4 linked regions of the Neurospora crassa OR74A genome follow. The protein of the gene in region 3 binds, or shares a complex with, the protein of the main gene of each other region. Links are inferred from orthologs where the notes say so. Each region holds a gene or a part of one and is shown on either strand. Other genes may lie near its edges. The genes, in order: NCU09063, NCU07679, NCU06216 and NCU02828.

Region 1 (4,218 bases), on a different chromosome or scaffold from region 3:
CTTGCCCCTCGCTCCTAACTTGTCCGGCTGCTCTAGAATGGAAGCTACTAACCTTTCAAACAGCTGCTGGCGGGTCCACTCCGGGTAGCGACGCGAGAAATCGAGTGCTTCGGTGACGTTAGTACGAGCAAGAGCGCCAAAGAGCAGCTCGAGAGCCTCGGATGAAGTAAAGACGGGCTGGGCGGCGTGGAAGTAGGCGAGAGCTAGCGTGTAATCGCTCTGACTGGTGGAGCTGCGCTTGTTGACGAGCGGATGGCGGACAAGGGCGATGGTGATTTCGTCGGCGAATTCGGTGGGGAGGGATGGGTGGGTTAGGTTTTCGATTGCGTACTGTTTAGCAGCGTTTGTTAGCGTCTTGATGTCCAGTGTGCAACTTAGGTTCCAGAACCAAACGGACGTCCGCACCTTGAACTCCATGCGATCCATGTGCCACAGGCCCCTCATAAGGATCTGGTACTTTTTCGGCAGTCCCGTCTCCTCAGCAAAGCTGTCCGCCCAATGCGAACGACCTGGATGGACGTCATCATGGTCGAGGAGGAGATAGTAAAGAACGGATATCTTTTGGATCGACGAGGCGCTGCTCTGGCAGATTTGTTGGTGGAGGGAGCGCAAGCCGTTCTCACCTCTGGGCGGATATGCAGTGCCTAGAGGTAGTTACAGTGGTGATTAGCGATGAAGCGCGCTATAACGACAGGGCATGGGTTGTTAGGGTGATTAGGTGGTAGTGTGGTGTTTACACTACACTAACCTTGGGCGATGCCTAACCGACTTAGGACGCGATCCACAAACAGGACGCCGCCCAATGATTTGCGGAAAGTCTCAATGGCACTGGCTCCCTTGTGATCGTAGGGGTTTATGAATCCCGGAGAGGGGAACACGTTGTTGTATTCTGTATAGTCGAGCATCGTGATGTTGAAGTTGGATTGCACAGTTGAAGTGCCCAAGTGTCCTTAGCTGTTGAATGAATTGAATGGAAAGGGAAAAGGGAAAATCGAAGGGATGGATGAGTGCCGTCATGGCCTGGGATACATGTATGCAACGGCCATCGGGTCCGTCAGGTCCATCCCCTGCACCTGGAATGGAGCCTTCCCCGGATCTGTACCTGCGCTAGGTAACGGCCTGTCTTGGCTTATCGATAAGGTAAGAAAGCCGTAAGCGCATGGAATGTTTGTTACACAGAGCGGGACTCCACCAGCCTGCCACGCATGCAGTGATAGCGCAACACGGTGCGAGCGTTCCAGGCAGCGGAGGGGTCGCCCGCTGCAGTGCACGAATTGCATTGGCTGCCCGTGGCTGCTGTGGCTGATTGTTTACCACCGCAGTCACGGTATTGCAAGAAGCGTCCGTCCAAAAACTGCCCTGAATGTCAACAATCTAACCGCGGCGGGGCAAGGAAGAAGCTGCGACAGCACTCAAAGAGTTTCTGCGTGGGCGTCCCATTCCGTGTCTGTCGCAACAACTGCCCTGCGAAATGTGAATACCATTTTTCATCTTTACTTGTTATTACATAAACTTTCACTCCTTGGTTGTCTGATACCCGCATCTTGCAGCGCTTTCTGTTCCATTCTGTTCTGTTGTTTTCATCATCGAGTCGAGAATTTGCAGGCCGAAACCACCGACAGACATCAGTCATGTCGACGCGCCCATCGCGTCGGGCCGCCGCAACCAGGCGCGCCGCCATCATCGAAGAATCCTCATCAGACGACGATATCGCAAACACCACATCGAGAGGCGCCCAAGATGACGACGAGGAGGACGATTATACACCCGCGCCAGCTTCGGCAGCCCGCAAGACTGCTCAGCGAACCACCAGAAGATCCACTGCCACGCCCGCTCCTAGGGCAGGAACACCAGCAGCAGCATCATCATCAACTGCACCGGCACCGGCACCAAAAGCTGCGCCGAAAAGGCGCGGACGACCTAAGAAGAATGCCGCGCCCAAACCCAGCAAAGAGCCCAGTGTCGAACCGAGTGTCGAAGCGAATAACGATCCCCAAGCCGAACCCGAAGCCCCAGCGCCTGCCGTCAAGCCAAAGGATGAGCCGATCGAGGAGGGTATCGACCCCAATGTGACTGTCGCGTCTGCCGTTTCGCCCGCTACAACCGCCGTGATCGCGGAGCCAGAAGCACGGGATACGCAAGAAATTCAGTCACCCCCGCGGAAGCGTAGAACTCTTGTGCGGCGCCTCAGCAGATCGCCAGCAAAGATCATGCAGCAACAACTCGAGCTGCAACAGCAACAAGCCAGCCGTCAAGGGACACCAACGCCAGGCTCTCCGTCAACTCAACGCGTCGATCGCCAACCTGCTCCTCTACAGGACATCACCCAGACCCTCATCAACCTACCACCTCCAGCGACCGCGGCATCAGAGACCCTTGTCAACACACAGCCAACATCAACAGCAGATGAAACCGTCGTGGCGGCCCAGAAGCCCGTCAGGGCTATGGATACTATTCTGGAAAAGCCCATGGATATTGTGCTCAAGTCACGGACCATGGCTCTTCCCGTCGTCGAGGATACCGGCCCGAAGCCACGCATTGTCATCACCAATCTTGTGCTCATCAACTTCAAGAGTTACGCCGGTAGACAGGAGGTCGGCCCCTTCCATGCTTCGTTCTCTTCGGTCGTGGGTCCCAACGGTTCTGGCAAATCCAACGTCATCGACTCGTTGCTGTTCGTCTTTGGTTTCCGTGCCAGCAAGATGCGACAAGGCAAGATCTCGGCCTTGATTCACAATTCGGCGCAGTTTCCGAATCTCGACTACTGTGAGGTGGAAGTGCATTTCCAGGAAGTCATGGACTTGGTAAGTCAAACATTGTTTTGAAGGGGAGTCATTGTGCTGACATTGATAGCCCGGCGGTGGCCACGAGGTTATCCCCGACTCAACACTCGTCATCTCGCGCAAAGCATTCAAGAACAACTCGAGCCAGTACTACATCAACGGCAAATCATCCAATTTTACCACCGTGACCACGCTACTCCGCGACCGTGGTGTCGATCTGGATCACAAGCGTTTTCTCATTCTCCAGGGCGAAGTCGAATCGATTGCCCAGATGAAGCCCAAAGCCGGCAACGAGCACGAAGATGGTCTGTTGGAGTACCTAGAAGACATTATTGGCACTTCCAAATACAAGACACCAATTGAAGAGTCGGCCACCGAAGTCGAAACCCTCAACGAGATCTGCATGGAGAAGAGTGGTCGTGTCCAGCACGTGGAAAAGGAAAGGAACAGTCTCGAGGACAAGAAGAACAAGGCGCTGGCGTATGTTCGCGATGAAAACGAACTGGCGCTGAAACAGTCGGCTCTCTACCAGCTATACATCAGCGAATGCGACGACAATATTGCTGTCACAGAGGAGGCTATCGGTCAGATGCAGGCACAACTTGACGCTGAGCTTGAGAAGCACCACGGCAGCGAACAGCTCATCAAGCAGTTGGAAAAGGCCTACTCCAAGGGTAGCAAGGAATACGACTCTTGGGAGAAGCAGACACAGCAGCTGGTCAAGGAGATGAACAAGTTCGAGCAGGAACGCGTCAAATTCGAGGAGAAGCGGAAGTTCTTGACGGACAAGCGTAAGAAGCTTGAGAAGACGATCGCTAACGCCGAGAAGACGGCTGTTGAAGCGGAGGAGACCATTCAGAACTGCACCAAGGAGATTGAGCGTCGTCAAAAGGACATTGTTTTCCTGGAGAAGAAGGTCAAGGAAGAGGAGGCCGAGCTTGCGACGATACGTGAGAGCCTCAAGGGCAAGACGCAAAAGTACTCGGATCAGATCGCGGCAAAGCAAAAGTCTCTCGAGCCTTGGAAGGACAAGATCAATCAGAAACAGTCCGCCATTGCCGTTGCGGAGAGTGAGCTGGCCATTCTCAGGGAAAAGGCCAATGCCGGAACTGTGGCCCTTGAGGAGATGGAGACGAAAATTGTGGCCATCCAGGAAAGGCAAGCGGCGAAGGCGGAGGAGATGGAGCAGTGCAAAGCTGAGAGAGCGAACCTGATCAAGGAGGGCAAGAAGATCGAGGCTGAACTTTCCAAGCTTGCGGAGGAGGAACCCAAGTACCGGCAACAGCTTTCGAATGCCCGCCAAAAGGCTGACGAGGCGCGGTCGAGCTTGTCCGCCACACAAAACCGAGGCAATGTCTTGACTGCCCTTATGCGCATGAAGGAGTCGGGTCGTATCGATGGGTTTCATGGACGACTTGGAAATCTCGGTGCTATT
Region 2 (4,204 bases), on a different chromosome or scaffold from region 3:
ACGAGCCATCGAGCAGACCACGGCCACCCCTGGGGCTACTTGTACGAGCGGAGCCCGCCGCGACCTCGAGTCTAGAATCGTTCCTCCCAGTAACATCTCCTATGCGTGCGGCGGGAATCGGCGAGGCCCCTCTGTCTGAGGTCCTGCTCGGGCTTGAGTAGAGGGAGGATGATGTTGCATTATTCCGGTTGCTCGCTACGCGGCGGTTCCGTGGCCGAAGAGAGTTATCATCCACTTCTGCTGAAGCCGACAAGAGAGCATTCGAAGGGGGGCGCTGCGAGAGACTCATGGCTTTGTGTTGATTGTGTCCTCGCAGGGAGGGCGCAAACCTCGGCGCCTTATGGTTCGTGGTTCGAAGGGAGCATCAGATAGCAGTTGTTCGAGGAACCATGGAGAGGGTGCCCCTTGCTGCTAGGCTGTTATTATTCTCTTTGCAAGTGTGTGACTGCTGGAGACTATGGGCACTGGTCGCAACGCTATGAGTGCCCTCGCTTCGTTTGTTTTTCCTCTCGAGATGCGCCGTAACGTGGAGTTCTCTTTGTAAGTTTATTGATGGAGACGGATTGCTCGCGGTGATGGCCCAATCGGTTGAAGCTGGGCTGGAGATCGGATCCGGTAGGACGTCGAGACAAAGGTACGGCGGGTAACAGGTCGTTGCGATTAGGTGGTTAATTGAAATGCGCGTCATGAAATCACAAAAATGCCACCAATAGCCGAACAATGATCTTGAACGGGAGACGCTCAGTTTGATGGGAAAGCTGGAGGGTGAAAGGTCCAAGAGCTTCCACTTCACTACGGTAGGTTGTGACGAGCTGGAGGAATCGATGCGCAAGCAGGAACGTGCCGTCCAGGTTCCCACTCACGCAGGGCAGTCGTGCCACTGTGTTCTAGTTGGCGGCGTCCCCGGCCTGTGGCCTGAATGGAGGCTCCCATAGGTATCCCGGAGGGGGCTCCCGTCGGCCAGTTCAGGGCCAAGAACCGGGCATAGCGGGGACCATGCCTTGCCTCCCCGGCCATGCCGTGCACTTGAAGGAAAGGCTCCACAATGTGTTTTGGCTCTGCGCCATGTACAAATCAGGCCCGTTTTGCATGGTCTTTTGGTACGTAATGATTTACTGCTCCAGGCCGAATCAAGGGCCTCGCAAGACGGAGAATAGGATCCCGCGTAGAGCTTCCTGATCTTATGTGCGCCAAGCCGAGTTACTTGGGATCTTTGCCGACGAAAGGGTCATCATAAATGGTGATAGACCAAAAAGGGGTACATATACATAGCCAGAGCACGGACCCAGTGTCGCAGAGAGCCACTTGCTACATAATCCCCACCTTTGTGAGCATCGCGCCAGGGGCAGGCGGGCACGTGCAGACGTGAATGCAGGGCGCCCTGTCCTGGCCCACACCCCGCCCTTCCCCCAAACCCAGTGGTGCCTGAGAAAAGTAAACAAACGTTGAGTCCATCTTCCGATCTTGTTGCAATTGTTCGGGCAGGCGCGGGCGTTTCTTACAGCAGCGCCAAAGTCTGAGCCACCACAATCCTCGGGCCCAAAACCACGACGACGCCAGAATGAGGGTTACCGAAGTCATTATCGACGTACGTGTTTCTCCACGGTGCCATCAGTCGCGACCGGACCGAACGTGGGATGCGACAACTTGAAGTCGCGACAGAGCTGACATATTCGTGCCTCACATAGGGCTTCAAGTCGTACGCCGTTAGAACGGTGATTTCGGGATGGTAAGGGCACAAATCCATCAGGGCGATGGAAGGCATCCTCCCAACTGCATAACTAACCGGCCGTCACAGGGATGAGAGCTTCAACTCCATTACCGGCCTCAACGGCAGCGGTAAATCCAACATCCTCGACGCCATCTGCTTCGTCCTCGGTATTACCAACATGTCAACAGTCCGCGCTCAAAACCTGCAGGATCTTATCTACAAACGAGGCCAAGCTGGTGTCACGAAGGCTAGCGTTACCATAGTGTTCGACAATAGAGACAAGAAAAAGTCACCAATCGGATTCGAAGAGTATGCGACCATCAGCGTTACCCGCCAAATCGTGCTCGGAGGCACCTCAAAATACCTGATCAACGGTCATCGTGCGCAGCAACAAACCGTACAGAACCTCTTCCAATCGGTTCAGCTCAATATCAACAACCCCAACTTCCTCATCATGCAGGGCCGCATCACAAAAGTTTTGAATATGAAGGCCGTTGAAATCCTGGCCATGATCGAGGAGGCAGCTGGCACAAGGATGTTCGAGGACAGGAGGGACAAAGCACTCAAGACGATGGCCAAGAAGGAGATGAAGTTACAGGAGATCAAAGAACTCTTGCGGGATGAGATCGAACCGAAACTGGAGAAGCTACGAACCGAAAAGCGCGCATTCCTCGACTTTCAGCAAACACAAAACGACCTGGAGCGATTGACAAGGCTCGTGGTGGCGCACGATTACGTAAGGTGTCAGGAGAAGCTACAACAGTCAGCATCGGATCTTGAGGCGAAGAAGCAGCGCCAGAAAGAACTTGAGGAATCTGCTATCCGGCTGAAAAATGAGATATCCCATCTGGAGGAGGACTTACAACGGGTTAAGGCACAGCGCGACAAGGAATTACGAAAAGGTGGCAAGGCTCAAGCCCTGGAAGAAGCAGTGAAGAAGCACGCCAACGAGCTGGTAAGGCTTGCTACTGTTGTGGATTTGAAGAAGAGCAGTATGAAGGAGGAGCAGGAACGGAGGAAAGCTGGAGAGAAGAACGTTGCGGACCTGGAAGCGGCGCTGAAGGAGAAGACGAAGACGTACGAGAAGATCAAGGCGAAATACGATGCCGCCAAGGAGACGCTTGAAAAGCAGAGGCAAGAAGCAGACACCAAGGAAGAGCTGCTACAAACCCTGCAAACTGGTGTTGCGTCCAAGGAGGGACAGGAGAACGGTTACCAAGGACAACTACAAGACGCGAGAAACAGGGCCACGGCTGCGGCAACTGAACAAGAGCAGGCAAAGATCAAAATCGCCCATCTGGAGAAGCGAATCAAAGGGGAAGAACCCCGGGCCAGGAAGGCCAAAGAGCAAAACGCCGGCTTGCTGAAGGATCTCGATGGCCTGAAAGCCCAGGCTCAGAGGCTTGAGAAGGAGCTTGGAAGGCTTGGGTTCCAACCCGGGACGGAGGAAGAAATGTATAAGCAGGAAAGCTCGCTCCAGCAGACTATCCGCAATCTCAGGCAAGAAGCCGATGCGCTTAAACGCAAGGTGGCAAATATCGACTTCAACTACGCCGATCCAGTCCCAAACTTTGATCGATCAAAAGTGAAAGGGCTAGTCGCGCAACTCTTTTCATTACCCAAAGAGTATATGGAAGCTGGAACAGCGCTGGAGATCTGCGCTGGAGGCCGTCTTTACAACGTGGTTGTTGACACCGAAGTCACTGGCACACAACTACTGCAAGGCGGTAGATTGCGAAAGAGGGTTACCATCATTCCCTTGAACAAGATCTCTGCTTTCAAGGCTTCTGCACAAACGATTGCCAATGCGCAACGAATCGCTCCAGGAAAAGTGCACCTGGCTTTGTCCCTAGTTGGGTACGACGATGAAGTGTCAGCGGCAATGGACTATGTCTTTGGAAATACGCTCATTTGCGCTGATGCAGACACAGCCAAGAGAGTGACGTTCGATCCAAATGTCCGCATGAGGAGCATCACAGTGGAGGGTGATTCGTACGATCCATCTGGTACACTATCGGGTGGAAGTGCCCCCAACTCGAGCGGCGTTTTGGTTACTTTGCAGAAGCTCAATGAAATCAATCGGCAGCTGAAGGAAGCAGAGACCGCCCTCAATGAGCTACGCGGCCAAATTTACCGGGAAAAAACGAAACTTGACCAAGCAAAGAGAATCAAGCAAGAACTTGACCTCAAAGCCCATGAGATCAAGCTAGCGGAGGAGCAAATTGGCGGCAACTCATCATCATCGATCATCCAAGAGATTGCAAATATGAAGGAAACAATAGTCCAACTCAAGCAGTCGATCATGGAGGCCAAGCAGCGACAGGCAGAAGCCACCGCCGAAGCCAAAAGAATCGAAAAGGACATGAAGGACTTTGACAATAATAAAGACGCTAAGCTTGTGGAGCTGCAAGCTTCAGTCGACAAGCTACGTGCGTCCCTGGACAAGATGTCTGTTACAAACAAGGCGTTGCAAAAAGAGCTTCAGGAGGCGCA
Region 3 (2,232 bases):
CCATCGCTGCCTGCTTGGTCGACTGGACGGATCCCAGAAAGTGCTACAACCCCGATGAAGGGTTCAGCGCCGGCCTTGACCCCGAGAAGAAGACCGTTTCGGCAGATGTGCACCTCGACTTCGCCAAGGATATTCTCGAAAGGCTACAAGGAAATGGAGCCAGTACGTATTCATTGTTGCCTCTCCCACCAAATCGTGATACTGACACCCAGACACAGAAGAAGAAAAGCGCATCATGGCCGCCCTTCTCGCAAAGCTCTACATCCCATCCGGCTCCTCTTCCTCCAACCCCTCCTCGCCCATCAAGATCCGCGACGTCTACGCCCTCGTCACCAACGCTGTTGAGAACAACCTCCTCTCCGACGCCACCTCTCGCAACGCCCTCTACAAGGTCCATGTCTCCCTTGGCAAGATTGTCAACGCCCTTGATGCCGCCGCCGAGCAAGATGCCGCCAACAACGCCGCGGGCCGCCATGCCTCCATTGCCTCCGGCGCCACCACCCATAGAAGAAGCGCCAGCAGGGCAGGCAGCGTCGCTCCTAGCCGGGCGGGTAGCGTGGCGCCTCCGGCTAGCGAAGCCAGTGGCGGCGGCGGCGGCGGGGCTGTGTCCAGAGCCGGTTCCGTCGCACCATCTGCGTCTGGTGCTACTGCTGCGCCTGTTAACAGCAGGAAGAGAAAGGAAAGGGAGGTCAGCGTTGGCGTCTCCATCAAGGAGGAGGACGAGAACGAGGACGAGGGCGAGGATGTGGAAATGGGTGGTACGCAAGTGGGCGATAATGATAATGCTGGTGATCGGGAAACAACACCAAAACCAACTGCGACAGAAGCCCAGGAGCCGAGCACGGAACAGAGAAGGTTGTTGAGAGGCGTTTCTCTGAGGAGTAGGAGGCAGAGCTCGCAGAGTGTGGTTAGCGTACAACCGCAGCAGCAACAAGAGGAGGAGCAGGAAGAACAACAACAACAACAACAACCGACAGGAAGGAGAGGGAGTAGGAGGGCTAGTGCGATGAAAGCCAAGGCGCGGTTGAGTGCTGGACGGAGCAGCAGAGCAGGTACGGAGGATATTGCGGAGGAGATACTGGATGATAGTGATGGAGATACGGTGATGGAGAGGACGAAGATTGAGGAGGAGGACGAAGAAGAACAAGAAGAAAAAAAGCGCGAGGACGAGGAACAGGACGATGAGGTAGGAGGGGAAGAGGATGGGAAAGAAGAAGAAGAGGAAGAAGAGGAGGAGGACGGTGATGACGATGATGGAGAGAACGAAGGGAAAGATGATGACGAGCTTGTTGATGAGTTATTGTCGGATGAAGAGGACGACTTCGAATAGGGTTGCGTACGGATTGAAGACGGAGATTCTGGATTGTTGAACTACATATGAACTGACTTGATTGGGTTTGGATGGGACACTACGTAATATATGGAGGCTCTGTGTTTCTGGCTTTGGTTCATGTCGTTTGCTTGCTGTCGAGGCCTGAGCTTCTTGGGCTAAGACGTATTGCCTTGGTTTATTTTGTCCTTGAACATTGCAGGATACCATTGAATGAAATGTCAAAAGGCTTTCTTTGTTTGCTTCCATGCATTTCAACTTTAGCATCTCCTCATCCAAGTGATGCTGAGGAACGATTTCGAGAATTTATCTACTCGTTCTAATCTAACCTTTATATCTACTACAAGCAACCAACACACAATGATCCACACATCCTATCAAACCACCCGGCCCTTCCTTGGGCTCGTCCTCTTGGACAAGATTGTACCACCTCATATTTTACCTAAAATGACCCAAGCCAGAACAACAACCCACTCAGCCCAACATTAATTACCAAATGCTGCACCAAGCTCCAAGCCACGCAGTACAAGTACTTTGGGGAAAATACCGTCCACACGAACAAGTGCGTCCTGAGGATCGTACAAGCCGCCATAACCGCCGCGACACTAAACGCGGTAAACAGCGTCGTCACGGCAACATAGGTCTTGAACGGACTGATTTGCCCCCCTTCAAGCATCTGTTTCGCTTCCGCTTCTTCCTCCTTTTCGTCGCTCCCTCTTTTCCCATTGTTACCGCTACCCAACCTTTTCTGTCTCTGATCTCTCCGCCAAATCTCCCCCAAAAGCACCACCGTCCCAAAAGCCCACCACACCGGTCCCGCCCAGTTCCCCACGTACGTCAAGATGCCAACTAGGACAACGTTGAAATTGCTCACCCCGTTGTAGGCGTTAGATAGGTCCACG
Region 4 (4,386 bases), on a different chromosome or scaffold from region 3:
TCTTTGGGAGGTTCTACTGAGGAGCTCGGTGGTTGGGCGGATGGGGTCGTCGTTGGGGGTGGGGAGAGGAGGGAGTCTTCGGGGTTTGTTGTTGTTGTTGTTGTTGTTGTTGGTATCTGTTGTTCGTGTTGTTAGTAACTGGGAGAAATAAAAAGAGGATGAAACAAAAAGAAAAAAAAAAAAAGAAAAGAAAAACAGGGAGGAGAAAAGAAGAGAGGAAAAAAAAAAAAAAAAAAAAAAAAAAAAAAAACGTCCGCCATTCAACATGTCCATCCCCATCCCCCGCCAAAGTTCCTCCTTCAGCCTCCTGACATCCACCTTCTTGGCCCGTCTCGCATACTGCACATACTCGGGCCTGACTCTTCGTGATTGCGTGACCAGCATCGTGCCAAACGCCAAATCGGCCGGGTTCGTAACCGTCAGCCCGTTAAACGCGCCCGTCATGCCCACGTCCATCGTCAGTCCTGCTGTTCCTTCTTTCCCGGCAGCGCCATCCCCTTGCGTGCCACCGGGGCCAGGCGAGAAGTGATCCCGTGCGTCAGCAAAGACTTCCTCGTCCATGTCTTCGTCGTCATCGTCGTCTCCGCCGTTGGCAAACGGCAGACCGTCATCCTGGAAGAAGTTGGCGTCGTAGTCACCCTGCGGTAGATGGTCGTCTTGCGATGATGGGCCCTGGTTCAGCGGCGCTTTTTGTTGGGCCCAGAAGGCCTCGTCCATGGTGCCCTCGGGGACTTGGTCTGGGTTTTGGTTGTCGGCATTGGAACGGCCAAAGGCGCGCTGCTTGCGGCCGAGACGGGCCTTGGGCTTGAGGAAGAGGTTGAGCAGCTGCTTGGAGCTGAAGTGCTTGTCGTCCGGCAGCAGGTTGCGCGACTTGGACTTCCAGTCCTTCTTGGGCAGCGAAATGGCCGAGTTGGTGGTGGCTTGGGTGTGCAGGACGTCGTGAAGGGTGCGATCCACGGGGGTGAAGAAGTCGATCTCGAAAGCCTGTTTCTCCTTGCGCTGGCGTTGTGGTTCTCCCGTTTGGGGTTTGTTGACATCTTTGATCTTGCGAATGCGCCAGTGCTCGGCGCTGGTCCAGTTCTTTGATAGGGCTTGGTCGAAGTAGCTGAGAATGTCCTCGTGCAGCCGGTCCGTCTTTTGGGCGTTCGTCATGTTAACCATGCCGAAATCGCCCTTGTCTTGATCGATCATTTCGAGGTCGCCGTCTACTCCATCACCATCGTCACCACCTTCGCCCTCTCCTATGTCTAGACCGGCGTCAAAGACCCGCATCATTTGTGGCTCGATGGCGGCTTCGCGGGCCCAGGCTTCTCCACCCTCACCGAAGGCTACGTCAACGTCTCCTCCCAGGTCGAATGCGCCCAGCGCATCATCGTCATCGAAACCGAGCGGGTTCTCGTCATCAATAATGAAGCCGGATTTGTTGCCGAGGCCAGGGGTCTTGGCTCTATCTTGCTCCTGGCGCCAGTCCTCGGGCGCTCTGAGGAAGGGAATATCGAGGGATCCGGAGGGGTCTCCGAGGATAAAAGTCTTGAGCGATGGGCACACATCCATCTCGTCTAGTCGTCCAAGATCGGGAAAGAACCTAGCACCAAGACTGGCAATGTCGATCTCCACATCGTCCTCCTCCTCTTCTTCTTGTTGTTGGGTCCGGGTCTGGGTCTTTTCGGTTTGGCCGTCGATTTCCATCGCATCAATATCCATGGCGTCCGGGTCGGCATCTTGGTCGTTCTCCTCGGCGGCTTTTTGGTTGCGTGAGTCGAGAGTGTCGATGGCGTCGTCGCTGCTGTCAAAGACGATGCGACCCTGCGAATCGATCATCAGATGGTTCAAGAGGAGACCCTTAGCGCCTCCCTCATCGAAGTCTGCTGATGCCTTTTTGAAGAGCGGATCTACTGAGAATTCGAGTTCGAACTTTTTGAGCTGCAGGGAAGCGAAAGAGGGTGCCAGGGTGGCTTCGGAGGATCGTTGGGTCTGCAATTGTCAGTATCATGCAACCCGCCCGTAGCAGTGAGCCGAGCAACCAACCTTCTTTCTACGCTTCTTTAGTACGTTGCCATTCTCGTCCACCTCGTCCTCCTCCTCATCGTCATCGCCGCCGTCCTCGCCCTCGCCCCTATCCCTCTTCTTGCTGTCGCGACTGTCGGCCAAACCACTGAGCAGCTTTCCGGTTTCCGTCGCAACACTGTCGACTCTGCTGGTATAAATCTTGACACACCCGTCCAGCGTGCAACTGGCCTTTTGGAAATTGACACCGTCTCCTTCCTTGAGTAGCGACATATCATGGAAGTAGTCGATCAGCGCAAAGTTCCACGAGTTGGCGGCATTGATCTTGTTGTCGGTGGCCATCTTCATCCACTCCTCAAAGTTGGCCAGGATGGGGACGCGCTTCATGGGGGTGACGACGGCGCCGCCCACAACCGGCCTGTCATCGTCGTCGAGGATGGAGAAGTTCTCCTTGCCAGAGATGCGGCGACGCGGGGTGCGCGGTCCGTTGGAGGTCGGAGTGCCATTTTCGTCGATTACGCTGCGGGCGGGGGTTGCGACTGCGGTCGCGGCGAGTTTGAGCTGGTTGATCTGGGCCTCGTGGAGGGCTTTGCGTCCTCGCGATCGTTGTTCCTTTTCTTGGGCGTCGTCGTTTAGTGGGATTCTAGTCGGGACGAATATCTCTGGTCAGTTACAAGGGAGGAAAATGAAAGAGGGACGCGACAAGACGTTCAATTCGCAATTCGCAATTCAAAGAAAAGACGTACTTGAGGCCGGGGGATTTGAGCGGGGATGGCACCGCAGGGCCCTTGCTCATGCTCCGTCGCGGACCTGTGCTGAGGCGAGGCATCTTGGCGGTGTTGACGAAGCTATCCAAGATGTGAAGCTCCAGGCGGCCGCTGTCTAGTTTGGACTTTCAGTGGTGTTTGTTTACTTTGACCCGCCCGTAACCACGATGGGAGTGCCAATGCTGGATAGGTAGCGCAGACACGGGCTAGACGGATCCACGTCTCAGCGGGCGGGCTGGTGACGGGTGGCGGCACGTGCTGGGGCCTACTACGCAGTACTATGGTAGAGGTAACTAAGAGCGGGGTGAGGAAGTTGAAGGGAGGAAGTCTGGGGGGCTTGGCATCGAATGACTAAGCTACCTCTACAGTCAAGGTACTACGCTCAGGTACAGCGGTACATTACAGGGCATCGATACATCCATACACGTACAAGGGACATACTGTTACATGCGGCGGCCGTTGGCGATCACACAGAGCCCCCCCCCCTTCTGGTACTTACACTACATACACGTGTACCTTGTATGTGGGGTTCACTTGGGGAGTTGAAACTCCGATTGAAGTTCCTGAGTCCGAAGTTGTCACGCATGTGCACTCCCTACATAACTAGAGAAAGGAGACGTATATCTACCTCTACCTAGTGTACAAGTGGCAGGGCATATGGGCTACCTCCCCCGTCTTGACCTCTTTGTGATGCGATCAAGACTCATCTCTCTTGTCGCCACAAATCCACAGCCTCTTGAGTTAGTTCAGATGGAAGTTCCGTTCCTGTTGGTCACCTCACCCGCATCGATTGGAGCTCGCGTATGTATGCACTGTAGAAGTATAGTAGGCATCTGTAGTAGGTATGTATTCCTACTCTACAGTCAAGACAGACTCCAACCGAAACAGCGTCTCCATGTCCAACCGGGTTGCGCATGGGGCTGCAGACGTTAGAAGGTAGCATTACCTTTCCGTGATTTTCCTTTCCTTTTTATTTTTATTTTTTTCTTCTTTTCGGTTGCTGCAGGGAACTTGTTGAGATCAGGAACACGGTAACACAGCGATATGTCAGTCTCCTGCCCAACCAGGAAGGTCACCCTCTTTTAATATTCCCCGCCTTCCTTCTTTGCCCTTTGCCTCTACTCTAGATTACATACATCGATAGCTTCTATCTTCTCGTTCAACTTTCTCCCAATCACCTATTTCCTATAGTATCTACACTAATAGATACCTACCTTGCGCCCATCCGTCGTCTACCCATCTCCAATGCAATGAATCTATCGTCTTGTCTCAGAGAAGCGGCGCATGGATACCTCGACGCACCAGTCCTAATCCGACCTTTCTGGCCACCCGAAATCACCTTGGCAACTTTGCGACGATGATCTCATTCCGCCTACATAACACAGCAATCCCGCCCGCCCACGCGAGCCACGCCATCGTCCCGTCAATCGTATACACCATACTGGACATACTTGTAGCCTTATCTGTTTTTTTTTTCTTCTTCTTTTCTATTTCTGCTGCTGGCAAATTTCTCTCTTTTTTTTTTTTTTTTTAATTCCGGCCATCATCAACATACGTACCTTGCGATCACATTTGCGATTGCGACCCAACGATAACTGCCGTTCGATTGCCC

What was found.
Region 1: NCU06216 (region 3) and NCU09063 share a complex: the UniProt entries of both Schizosaccharomyces pombe proteins name them as parts of the condensin complex. The link is inferred for Neurospora crassa OR74A from reciprocal best matches to the Schizosaccharomyces pombe genes cnd3 and cut3.
Region 2: NCU06216 (region 3) and NCU07679 share a complex: the UniProt entries of both Schizosaccharomyces pombe proteins name them as parts of the condensin complex. The link is inferred for Neurospora crassa OR74A from reciprocal best matches to the Schizosaccharomyces pombe genes cnd3 and cut14.
Region 4: the proteins of NCU06216 (region 3) and NCU02828 are in contact, whole or in part, in a crystal structure (PDB 5OQR), measured with the Schizosaccharomyces pombe proteins. The link is inferred for Neurospora crassa OR74A from reciprocal best matches to the Schizosaccharomyces pombe genes cnd3 and cnd2. Residues at the interface, in NP_588207.1 of Schizosaccharomyces pombe: Ile4, Gln5, Ser8, Gln11, Thr12, Arg39, Ala40, Asn42, Ile43, Ile44, Leu45, Val47, Asn51, Ser52, Asn53, Ala54, Arg56, Val57, His84, Arg87, Gly88, Asp90, Ala91, Lys92, Asp93, Val96, Leu131, Asp132, Arg133, Phe165; in NP_587811.1 of Schizosaccharomyces pombe: Arg477, Asn481, Ala482, Ile483, Asp484, Phe485, Leu486, Gln487, Val489, Val491, Leu494, Phe495, Thr496, Pro497, Lys503, Leu504, Trp509, His512, Arg514, Cys515, Leu516, Leu517, Pro518, Asp519, Asp520, Tyr521, Gln522, Tyr523, Ser525, Arg527.

What each region holds. Positions count from the first base shown.
Region 1 is NC_026507.1:495,228-499,445, forward strand, and holds the start of NCU09063 (nuclear condensin complex subunit Smc4), read left to right. Parts: upstream 1-1,330; 5' UTR 1,331-1,631; coding exon 1,632-2,804; intron 2,805-2,853; coding exon 2,854-4,218. Other genes in the region: NCU09062 (hypothetical protein), read right to left, coding at 1-330, 406-644, 749-905. UniProt on the Schizosaccharomyces pombe protein: Central component of the condensin complex, a complex required for conversion of interphase chromatin into mitotic-like condense chromosomes.
Region 2 is NC_026504.1:2,263,360-2,267,563, forward strand, and holds the start of NCU07679 (nuclear condensin complex subunit Smc2), read left to right. Parts: upstream 1-1,267; 5' UTR 1,268-1,561; coding exon 1,562-1,588; intron 1,589-1,688; coding exon 1,689-1,729; intron 1,730-1,798; coding exon 1,799-4,204. Other genes in the region: NCU16785 (hypothetical protein), read right to left, coding at 1-289. UniProt on the Schizosaccharomyces pombe protein: Central component of the condensin complex, a complex required for conversion of interphase chromatin into mitotic-like condense chromosomes.
Region 3 is NC_026503.1:1,932,207-1,934,438, reverse strand, and holds the end of NCU06216 (nuclear condensin complex subunit 3), read left to right. Parts: coding exon 1-162; intron 163-218; coding exon 219-1,330; 3' UTR 1,331-1,609; downstream 1,610-2,232. Other genes in the region: NCU06215 (transferase), read right to left, coding at 1,773-2,232. UniProt on the Schizosaccharomyces pombe protein: Regulatory subunit of the condensin complex, a complex required for conversion of interphase chromatin into mitotic-like condense chromosomes.
Region 4 is NC_026501.1:8,976,678-8,981,063, forward strand, and holds the start of NCU02828 (condensin complex component cnd2), read right to left. Parts: upstream 2,837-4,386; coding exon 2,754-2,836; intron 2,651-2,753; coding exon 2,029-2,650; intron 1,975-2,028; coding exon 313-1,974; intron 117-312; coding exon 1-116. UniProt on the Schizosaccharomyces pombe protein: Regulatory subunit of the condensin complex, a complex required for conversion of interphase chromatin into mitotic-like condense chromosomes.